3 linked regions of the Rattus norvegicus genome follow. The main gene of each other region encodes a partner of the protein of the gene in region 3 in a complex. Links are inferred from orthologs where the notes say so. Each region holds a gene or a part of one and is shown on either strand. Other genes may lie near its edges. The genes, in order: Dcp1a, Arhgef6 and Map3k5.

The links.
Region 1: Map3k5 (region 3) and Dcp1a share a complex: the UniProt entries of both Homo sapiens proteins name them as parts of the cytoplasmic complex. The link is inferred for Rattus norvegicus from reciprocal best matches to the Homo sapiens genes MAP3K5 and DCP1A.
Region 2: Map3k5 (region 3) and Arhgef6 share a complex: the UniProt entries of both Homo sapiens proteins name them as parts of the cytoplasmic complex. The link is inferred for Rattus norvegicus from reciprocal best matches to the Homo sapiens genes MAP3K5 and ARHGEF6.

Annotation. Positions count from the first base shown.
Region 1 is NC_086034.1:5,662,240-5,665,991, forward strand, and holds the start of Dcp1a (mRNA-decapping enzyme 1A), read left to right. Parts: upstream 1-1,197; 5' UTR 1,198-1,222; coding exon 1,223-1,357; intron 1,358-3,429; coding exon 3,430-3,470; intron 3,471-3,752. UniProt on the Homo sapiens protein: Necessary for the degradation of mRNAs, both in normal mRNA turnover and in nonsense-mediated mRNA decay. Removes the 7-methyl guanine cap structure from mRNA molecules, yielding a 5'-phosphorylated mRNA fragment and 7m-GDP.
Region 2 is NC_086039.1:140,259,941-140,263,592, reverse strand, and holds part of Arhgef6 (rho guanine nucleotide exchange factor 6), read left to right. Parts: intron 1-625; exon of another isoform or gene 626-681; intron 682-1,086; coding exon 1,087-1,171; intron 1,172-3,288; coding exon 3,289-3,413; intron 3,414-3,652. UniProt on the Homo sapiens protein: Acts as a RAC1 guanine nucleotide exchange factor (GEF).
Region 3 is NC_086019.1:16,582,402-16,586,053, forward strand, and holds part of Map3k5 (mitogen-activated protein kinase kinase kinase 5), read left to right. Parts: intron 1-944; coding exon 945-1,113; intron 1,114-2,578; coding exon 2,579-2,685; intron 2,686-3,652. UniProt on the Homo sapiens protein: Serine/threonine kinase which acts as an essential component of the MAP kinase signal transduction pathway. Plays an important role in the cascades of cellular responses evoked by changes in the environment.

The sequences.
Region 1 (3,752 bases), on a different chromosome or scaffold from region 3:
AGAGTTCCTTCACTACCTTTCCTGGCTCAGACGGAAATAGACTCCACCCTCTGGAATTCAAAGAGAAATGTCTATCATGGGGTTATTTGCTTGCTTTTCGTTTCTCCTGGTGCCAAAAAGAGTTGGAAGCTTGGAACTGACAACCACTCTATAAGATCAATGAATGTGTACGTGAGCAAAGGGCGAACAAACCATAAGCTGTTCCGACTTCTTGCCTCACACGTGTTTCCGAACGGAAAGTCTGCCCTTCCATTAGCAAATGATCTTGGGATGTAAAACCACAAGCAACACAAATATATGGTGGTACTTTGATGGAAATGTAAAGTTTATCCTTTCAAAAACGTTCATTTGTGCCGAGATGTCCTCAATAAAGAAAAACGATGGTTTTTAAAGCAGCTCAATGAAAATAGGCTGAGCACGTTGTTTTACTTTGTAGTACCTGACCCCTTAGGATGCCCAATAATGTTGGCTTTTTAAGAGATCTACTTATTATTTAAGTAATAGGTCTTTCTATATTGCTTTTTTTTTCTTTTTTTCGGAGCTGGGGACCGAACCCAGGGCCTTGTGCTCGCTAGGCAAGCGCTCTACCGCTGAGCTAAATCCCCAACCCCGTAATAGGTCTTTCTAGAACAACAGAAATATTTATTTAGGACCCAGATGAAGGAAAAGACAAGCCAAAGAGGGGAAGCCGAGTACAGTGTAGTTCCAGGCAGGCTAGTTTGGCTGCTTTGAAACATTTCTTTCAAAAATTACCAAACAGTTAAGAGTGAAAGTGCAGCTCGGAAGTAAAGTACAGCTCCCTTTCCTCACTTGGTCTGAGTTTTCTCAATGGTCCATGAAAACCTCACTTCCACAGCAGCAAGCATTTCGATTCAGGGTATGTGCTGGGCTGCGGTCTCACTGGCAGGAGTCTGGAGCACTCAAGGAACAAGTTCAGATCCCGCCAGGTGAGAGAGGAGGACTCCGGAATGTCGGCTCGCCGAAGCTCCACCGCGCAGGCGCGGACGCCTGTACCTTCCGGCAGCCGCAGACCTAAAAAGATCGGAACCAGGCTCCCAGGGCATAGGAGCGGCGGATCAGATTAACTGAAGTACCACCCTCGGCAAGGCAGGTCGGATAGGCGGAAGTGGACGGCTGACTGAGCTGGGGGAACTTTGCCTGGATGGCACTTTCCTGTTCTCCAGTCCGCCCCCGCCCGAGGGGCTCGGCCTGGAGATCCAAGATGGAGTTGTTGAGTCGAGCTGAGCAAGAGATGAGTCTGGCGGCCTTGAAACAACACGACCCCTACATCACCAGCATCGCAGACCTCACGGGCCAGGTCGCCTTGTACACTTTCTGCCCCAAAGCCAACCAGTGGGTGAGTGAGGCCCAGCCGTGGAGAACGCCAGCCTGGCCGCTGCCGCCTCTTAAAGGGACCGCGCAGACAGCTTAGGATTGGGGGTGGGGTGTGGAGCAGAGTAGGACCGCAAAGGCGAGGCCCGAACCTCTCCCAAAGGTCCTTCCAGAGCCGAAGAGATGACGGGGGAAAGGGGAGGGACACGCGGAATTGGAGGAATGAAGGGTAGGAGTACACCAGAGACATAACAGGGAAATCAGATGGAGGACAGGAATGAGGCAGGATCAGTCTTTTTGGGGTCGGTTCTGGAGACTTGAGGTTGCATTGGCAGGATATGAGACAAGTTAATTTTTTTTTCTAACAAGTGATTGAAAACCTGTGTTTGAGACTTTGAAAACTATTAGATAAATCACGTGTTCTTGATTGCAAAATCCACTCCTCTTTCCCTGCCGACCTAAATGTGATGATTTGGATTTGAAGCTTAAAAATCAGTCTCAGGAGTTAGTCCAGCTTTAGCAGAACTGGTATCACCGGAGTTTAAAGAAAGATTTCAAGGCTACTTCAGTAAGAATTGGATTCCTTGGAGACGTTTTTACAAGAAAAAAAAAAAAAAAAGAGACCGGTGATAGGACGTTTGATCGCTCACTTCTTAGTTCTTTTTGGATTTTGTGAGTGGCATGGAGTTCCAGAAATTACATTCACTGACTTTAGTTAACCTCAACTTGAAGCACCTATTTACATGATGTCCTATTTCCTCCTGATGCTAGGCAGACACTGTACTGTTCCTCTACCACTGGGCTATATACCCAACCCAAGTTACAGTTTCTTAATCACATTTTCAGGCGTTTATTTTAAAAACCTACCACATTTGTCTAAGGCAGAGAATGGTTTCTATCCACGAGTCTTAACAAAGTTCTGAAAATATTAAATTGTGTTTGGTCACCACAAAATGTGTAACTCGTGAAAATAGTCCTAAATTCTCCAGAAATGAAACAGTATCTTAGAAGAAAACGTCCCGAGGGTTAGGGATTTAGCTCAGTGCTACACAGCTGTGCATCATGAGGCCCAGGCTCTGAGTTCAACCTGGTATCCCTTTTGAAGAAAGTTTCCATTCTTTTTCTATAAACCTCAATAGACTGCTCAAGTTTGGTTTGGTTTGGTTTTTGGTTTTTTTTTCCAAGTTTTTGGTTTTTTAAGTTGCAGTAGACAATACCTTGACTGGAGTATTAAGATACCTAGTTGAAAGGTTTTAGTGTTTGCAGAGAGAAGCTGGGGCAGAGAAATGGCTCAGTAGTAGCTAAGAGCATTTGGTGCTCTTCCCAAGGACCTGCCTCAATTTCCAGCATCCCCATGATGGTTCAGACCCATCTGTAACTCCAGTTCCAAGACGTCCAGTGCCCTCTCTAAGCTCCACGTACACACATACATGTGTTACAAAGAAATACGTATGCTGACAAAAGAGCCCTACATCTTTTCTAATTGAAAAAAAAATTTAATACATAAAATAAGTAAAGCTAAATCGCTTTTTTTTTCCCTTTAAATGTTCCTCACTGGCAAAAATAGACATGTGCTACAGATGTACACATATTGTTGGGTTGGACATACATAAACACAGGGGTGAACAGATACATAATTTGTTTAGATTTCTTTTAAAAAGTGAATTGCTTTACCTGTTCAAACGTGACTAATTTGGAGGCTAAAGAGACAGCTCAGTGGATGAAGTGCTTGCCTCCCCAGCTTGAGAACCTGAAGTATTCACACAGAAAGCTGGACGTAGTAGCTTGCACTTACGTGTCCTCTGGGGACATGGAGGCGCTTATGACACAACACTGGAGCTCACTGACCAGGAAGTGCAGCTAAATTGCCCATCTTCTGGCCAGTGAGACCCCCTGACTCAAAAGAAGGAATGACGCCTGAGAGTGACCGATGGCCTCTCCAGTTGTACACAAATGCCAGCGTGCATTCCCTTGAGCACATACACGATCGATTTCACAGTAAATAAGACAAGTTGGCCTGAACGTGTAGGTGCTTCACCAAGATCATTTGACCTTGGATTATTCCTGGAAAACTGACAGAGTCGTTGTCTGTTACAGGAGAAGACTGATATAGAAGGGACATTATTTGTATACCGAAGGTAAGTGGCTTAAGGATGTTTCTACTTCACTTGAATGGTGGTGATCGCTGTGGTGGAGCGTGGTCCGTTTCTATCGTGTATGTAGCTTTGGAGCCTTCCTGTTTATCTTCTTCCAGTTTTCCCCCACCCAAGCACTACAGTCCTACTACAGCTGCTGCTCTTCTTCCCATGTTAAAAAGAATGCATACGTACGAATGTCTGCGAATATAGTATAGTACAGTAGCTATAAAGTGATTGAGATAGCACTCTTGCCGGTCTGTAGTTTCTGATGAGAATTTGCCT
Region 2 (3,652 bases), on a different chromosome or scaffold from region 3:
AAATTTGTCCTCCCATGCGCTCTCTCTCTCTCTCTCTCTCTCTCTCTCTCTCTCTCTCTCTCTCTCACACACACACACACACACACACACACACACACACACACACACACGCACACACACACACACACAGGAGAGAGATAGAGAGAGACAGAGACTGATAGTGATGACAGAGAAAGGTAGAGAATATATCAGTAGGTAATTGGCACTTTCTGTAGGAACAGTTCCCTATCAGATTGCAAAAAAAAAAAAAAAAAAAGGTCATGAGGATGTTATTTTTACTCAGGTCTCACTCTAGCCTAGGCTGACCTGGAACCCACTCTGTAGGCCAGGCTATCCTACATTTTGGCAATCCTCCTGCCTCAGCCTCCCAATTGCAAAGACTACAGATGTGACCCACCATACCTGGCCAAAGGCCTGGCAGCATATCTAGGAAGGTCACCCAAAGCCAGGAAGAACTCACAAGCTCAGGCAGATGGAGAGTCAGATTCTTGCAGTTCACAGATGAGAAGGGCAAGATCAATCAGCAGAAAACAGGAAGTGAGGCTTCGAGCAAAAGGCAGGTTGGGACAGCAGTTCTGCAATGTGGCATTGGGATCCTAAGCAGTTGGGCAGCAGCAGGGAGGAAGGGGAGGAGAGACAGGCACTTGTGACAGTGCCACCGGCAAGGAGAATTAATAAGAGGTAAAGCAGAAAGCCTCTGTATTTGTAGGCTTCTGAGGCCCTTGGGGAGGTGTTGGGCAGTAACAGGAACCCCTGCACACAGGCTTTGTGTAACTGGCTGAAGAGTCAGGAGTTCAGGTCAGGAGACTGGGTCTGAGCATGCGCTTTAAATTTCCTGGTGGGTGCTACCTTCTCAGCTTGCCTTTCATATCCCAGTGCTGTTTTGTTCTGAGTCACTGATGGCTGCCACATGCCATTAGGCAGCTCAGCTGCTGCTCTAGTTTTTCCAGAAGGTATGCAGAGGTTTGCATCTTGTCTTGTACATTTTCCCCCTCTTGAATACTAAAGCAAGGGGCCTTTTCACAGTTTCATTTGTTGAGTTGATTACTTACAGTGTCTTACAGTTTCACATTTCCTTTCTAATAGGTGTTTGAGCCTGATGACCTCTATTCTGGGGCCAATTTCTCCAAGGTTCTGAATACCCTTCTAGCTGTCAACAAAGCGACAGAAGGTAAGGCATGCTGGTGATTTATGATCCATATTTCTAGAAGCTAGCTATGGCCACAGCTGTTCAAATGATGCAAATTTCTTCCCTCCCCCAAAATAAATTTATAAAAAATATAAAATACTTAATTTGTATAACTCAAATGTACCCATCACAGAATAACAAGGAAAAATGCACACATATCAAATTCTAATAATCTTAACATAACAATAAAAACCAAAAGTGATTTCATGCAAAGCTTTGGGATTGCCAATTGAGTATAACAAGACAGACAAAAAAGGGAAAGACCAGTTCCTCCTTAAAAAATAAGGTTTACAAAAAACAGCCATCACTTCCCTTTCTCCACCAGAGATATTTTTCTTGTAGTTTTCCATAGGTCGCAAAGCAGAGCTTTTCAGTAGCTTTGCTCTTGGAATGAAACCTCAGATTCCCCAATGAATATAGAGAGTAGCTTATGTAAACATTTCATATCCACTGTATTACAGATTATTAAGTATAATCCGAGTAAAGAGGAAACTGATAAAACTGTACTAGAAAGCTGTTTATTCTGTGACATCATGTCTTAAATATATCAGTCGTAGTCATCGTGAGTTCAAATGCTTTGAGCACTTTCCATCGGTCTTGGCTGTCTCAGTAGCTCCAAGTGGTCTCATTGAATCAGTCAAACACCAATGGTGGATACAGGGACGGGAAAGTCCACATTAGAGATAAGGAATGCCTGGCCCACAGTTACCCAACTAGAAACTGGATGGCTAAGCTAGGATTCAAACCCACATAAAACTGTCCAGAGTTTTTATGATAAACATGAATCCTGCTGCTTGATTGGTTTAAGAGCCACACGACTGTGCTCAGTACTGCCAGGTGCCAAGGAGGAAGTAGAAGATCTGGCCCTGCCCTTGAAAAAATTACCATCTATTTATGGAGACTCAACTTACCCACGTGAACCAATTAGAGAGCGGAGCAGACAATGTAATCAAGTGCCGAGTAGGACGGAGAATCTAGGAACCCATCAAGTAATTATAGTTTTACCCTAAAGAGCTGTAGATAATGGCAAGATGTGGAAAAATACTTCTCTGAAGTTGTTCTTTTGCTATTTGGAAAAAAAATGGTTTTTGAGCTATTGCAAGGCGTATGGCAGAGAGTACAGCTAATTCAAGTAGCTATATTTAACGCACATGACAAGTATCCAGTTCTGGGAAGGGAGGATGGTATAATTCTAACATTATGCCACACAAATTATACGTTTCTTTGCCAAACTCTTCTAGCAAGTTTTACAGTCTCTTCGCTCACCACAGATATTTATAAAAATACAAGGAGGTGAAAGTAAAAACCCACGGCCTCAAGGAGATTACTCGATGCTGAGCCTGTCGCCTAGGGAATGTTTGGGCTTTAGACTTTTGCAGTTTATATCTTTTAAAAATAAGTGGAAAAGAAAGAAGCCTCATTTGAATTTGTCAAGAAGCCAGCCTCTCCCTTCAGTACACTCTCAGCGTGCTGAGAACACCCAGCTCAGCCCAGGCCCGATCAAATTTCACAAAGAATCAAGCAAGAGAAAGCTCCAGTGTTTGATTTTACAAAATGATTCTAACACCAAGATTGCATCTGTCTCAAACACACCCTCTCCCTCATTCTGATTCTCCACCCCACCCCAAAACACCAGGGAGACTTTATGTTATGTGGGCCACACATATTTTGACATGTAAGCGAAGAACCCGTAAGTTATGAGCCAACAAACAAAGAGAGAAATTTGAAATATTTCCAAAGTATTAAGAGCCACAAACAGCTGTTTGGTACCCGATATAGGTCTGCCTTGGGTAACACGGCATACATACTGTGGCAACTGGTTCCGTAAGGGAAAGTTGTAGGGAAATGGGTTAGGAGAAAATGTGGTTCTGCCGCTGTTTTTCATTATACTGGACAGCAGTGGCCAGTAAGGTTAAGAAGAAAAAAGTTGGCCATTGAAAAGAAAAAAGGGAGGGGGAAGCCTAAAAACACAGCCTGTTCAGAGTGATAGTATCCCAGAAGCCACTAGGATGGCTTCGGCAATGTCCTGGGCTAGAGTGTACTGTAGGTGGTTTCCTGCTGCAAGTTTTATTTATTTATTTGTTTTCCTCTCTTCACAGATCAGCTATCAGAAAGACCATGTGGACGGTCCTCTTCTCTTAGTGCTACGACCAGCTCTCAGACAAACCCACAGGCAGCCGTTCCCAGCACAACTCCAGAGCAGCAAAGCGAGGAAAAGGCAGCGGTAAGTAGCATCTGTCCCCATTCCCTACTCCACTTTGTTTTAAAAATCTCTCAAGTGGGATGAACATCTCCCATGTATTTCCATGTGCACTGAGGTAGATATTCTGTTTGTTTGGGGTTTCACCAGAGTATGAGGTACAGAGTGAACTTCTGTTCAAGCTGGAATACTGGGAGAAAGCAGGTAGGGGAACTCCTCAGGGCTGAAGCTCTGTTGTTTACTAGAATTTAGCTAGTCACTAA
Region 3 (3,652 bases):
CTTTTATAATAATGACAAAGACCTCTCTCTCTATCTATTGATCTATCTGTATCATATATATATATTTATATTTCTTTTACTTATTTTGAAGTAAGTTTATATATAATCTTATTGTTTATAAATATATATGTTTATAAAGAAATAAATATATATGTATATATATGTACACACACATACACACACGATCAGTTATGGCTACATCAGAATAAATGTCAGGGGACTTTTAGTGTAAGGGCCAAAGTTTTGCAAAATTTGCTAAGAACATAGCTTAGTTAAGAATAATCCCTGGGCCAGCGAAATGGCTCGGTGGCAAGTGCGTGCTGCCAATCCTGACACCTTAAGTCCAGGCCCCGAAATTCTCATGGCAGAAGGAGAAGGGCGATCCCTATAGAGTTGGCCTCCGACCGCCGTACCCATGACTGGGCACACACACGGAAGCACACATACATGCTCTAAGTCAGAAATGAAAAGTCATTTTCTTGATTCAGAGCTCTCTGGCTGGCCTGGAGCTCTCTCTGTGTAGTCGCAAACTCTGTGGAGGTGGCCTTCCAATACTCAGAGATTTCAACTGCCTCTGCCTCCTAAGCACTAGGGTTGCGAGCAGGTGCCACCACGGCCAGCAAACGTGGTGATTAAACGAAGAGTCATCAGTTGTTTATGTTAGCGGAGAGTCAGATCATGGGCCTGTCTAAATTATTTGAGATAATTTGCCCTCGAAGCAGTACAATGAAAAAATAGAATTTGGATATTCTTTTGAAATACGGCAGAATCCTAAAAGAAATACACACACTCCCAGATTTCTTACTAATGCCAGATACATGAGGTGTTCCTTCAGTGTGGCTTAGTGGCTGAAAACTGCTCGTGGACACATGCCTTGCGTGTCTGTGTTTCAGTGAATTGTTTTCTAGAGCTAACTCTCTGAAACGTGTGTTTTTTTTCGCCAGCCAGTACTTCCGGGAATCTATACTCAACGACATCAGGAAAGCTCGGAATCTGTACACTGGTAAAGAGTTGGCGGCTGAGCTGGCGAGGATCCGGCAGCGGGTAGACAATATTGAAGTTCTGACGGCAGACATTGTTATCAACCTGTTGCTTTCCTACAGAGATATCCAGGTGAGAGGATACGAGCTGTCTCTCAGATGTCATGCCAGAGGAAGGAAGGCCTGGGGTGTTAGAGTTCAGCTACGTAATAAGTAATCCAGGTTGCTACCTTTCCTCTGTGACTTCATGGCGAGTGGAAGAGACTCGCAGATGCTAACTGTCGGGCTTATGACACGCTCATATTTACCCTTCCTCAAAAGCTGCTCACCTGATCAGCTCTTGGAGGGCTGATCTCCTCGGTGAGCCTCGGGCACACCTGTCAGTCAGCCAATGAGAGCTTTGTTTTGGCAAACAGCAGAGGCTCGTAGATCTCTCTGGATATAGCTTTTACTTCCTGAAACTATGCTACTGAATCTGATGGTGCCAAGAGCAAGAAATATGCAACCAAGTCCTCGTAAAGAAGTGGCGGACCCACGGACGTATGGCATCATTTCTTCTGCTGGGTCGTAGCCTTTTTTTAAGATCCAGCAAGTAGACTAAAACTCTCTCAGTGAGGGGTGTGACGTTAGAGTTGTATCATAAAATCCAGGTAACTCCTGGCTTCTGGTTCCTGTACCAGCCTCTTGGTCCTGTGTAAAACTTCACCCATCAGAGAGACTCAGTACATGGAGAACCATGGTAGCTAGCAGCCTGCGGCTAGAGGAAACTCACTTAACGTGACCTGCAGTCATCTTGCTTCACTTACCACAGTATTTCAGTCAGTTGCCTTATGACCTTCAAACTTTTAATGTCCTTGGTGGAATCATTTTATGGTTCTTGATGGAAGCCTGCAGAACAGGAGCTACGTGAAAAGAGCCAGTCACATGACTGTGGCTTATTTGTTTTGTTTCTTTGGATTTTATCACATCCCATAACTTTATTTTTTCATACCTTAATCCGTGTAATAGGAATTTAGGAGAAACACGGCTGTTGCTTCTAGGGTTTTCAAAGGTCTCAACAGATTGGTTTTTTTCCTAACACAATACTTTTACTGATTATTTGGGAATTTCACATCATATACCACAATCACTCACTTCCTAATCCTCCCAGGTCCATACCTCCTGCCTCTGGATCTCCCCTCCTCCCCCCATAAAAGAAGAAAAAGAAAAAACAGATACTAAGTCCAACTTGTGTATACTCGCCAGAGCATGGTCAAACTCCCAGTGGCCAACCCCTTAAAGAAAACTGAGTCCTTCCCCACCCCCGCCCCTACCGGGAGCCACTCAGCATCCTTATCAGAACTCTTAAGAGCTCTCTTAAATGGCTTCCTGTGTAGACTGTTTGCTGCGTGCGCATGTGCATGCGCGTGTTGTGTGTGTGTGTGTGTGTGTGTGTGTGTGTGTATGTGTGTGTCGATGGCGGGTTGCTGCAGACGCCTTCTATGCCCCTCAACAATTCTAACTTTGCCGTTAGTCCCTTTCTCAGCATTAGATGCCTGGCTGTCTTGTCGGAGATTTCTCCTCAGGGTTTAATTCTGTTCTGTTCATTTTGTTGAAAGGACTATGACTCCATAGTGAAGCTGGTAGAGACCTTAGAAAAACTACCGACCTTCGATCTGGCCTCGCACCACCACGTGAAGTTTCATTATGCCTTTGCACTGAACAGGTAAGATATTCCCTCCTGGGATGGCTCCGACATGACAGTTCAGCTCTTACCAATGTCCCTGTGGCTTCCCAGCAGCTCCCATATCTACCACAGCCCATGCGAAGTAGTGCAAGCCTTCTGATCTCTCTCTGGTTTTGTTTGTTTGTGGACGGGGTCTCACTGTATATCTCAGGCTGGCTTGAGTTTTTAATCCTCCTACGTCTGTCTTTTGATGGCTGTTGTTTTTACCAGCCTGTGTGTGTGTGTGTGTGTGTGTGTCTGTGTGTATCTGTGTGTGCCCGCATGCGAGAGTCCTTTGTCTCTCTGTTAGTAAAAGCCTGTCATGGTATTTGTAGTTACAATTTTTTTATAATTCTTTTTTTTTCCTGTGACAGAGCTTGTGTTTGTTATTTATATCTTATAACATTCAATATTTTATCAATATTATACTACTTTTAAGCAAATATAGTTTTCCTTGGGTGTTTGTTAAAAATGTGTTCCAAACTCTTTAAGGGTACTCAGATCCAAGGATGTTCAAGTCCTTATAGATTGGTACAGGATTTCGTATAACAACCAAACATTCTTTATATATTTAAGCATTCTCTATATTTATATATATTTGTATCTCTAGATAACTATGATATCTAACATACTATCATGCTGTGTGGATGGTTGTTAGTTTGTTCTGTTCAGGGGAAAAATCTGTGCAGGTTCAGTATAGACATTTCCCTAATTATTCTCAATGCGTATTTGATTGAGCCCTGGGCTGAGAATTCACAACCTCACTATCATCTGGCCCTTCACATACTGACTCATTGAAGTATGAGGATAGTTTTGAGGAAGTGAATGTTTTTCTCATCCAGAGACAGTTACCCCCAGGACTGCTGTGAGCAGGATTAGTTATGACCGGAACTCTGCCGGTGACATTTTAAATTACGTGTCCATGAGCCTGTCTGAGTCACTTTTGACAGAGCTTGTCTTAGTCCCC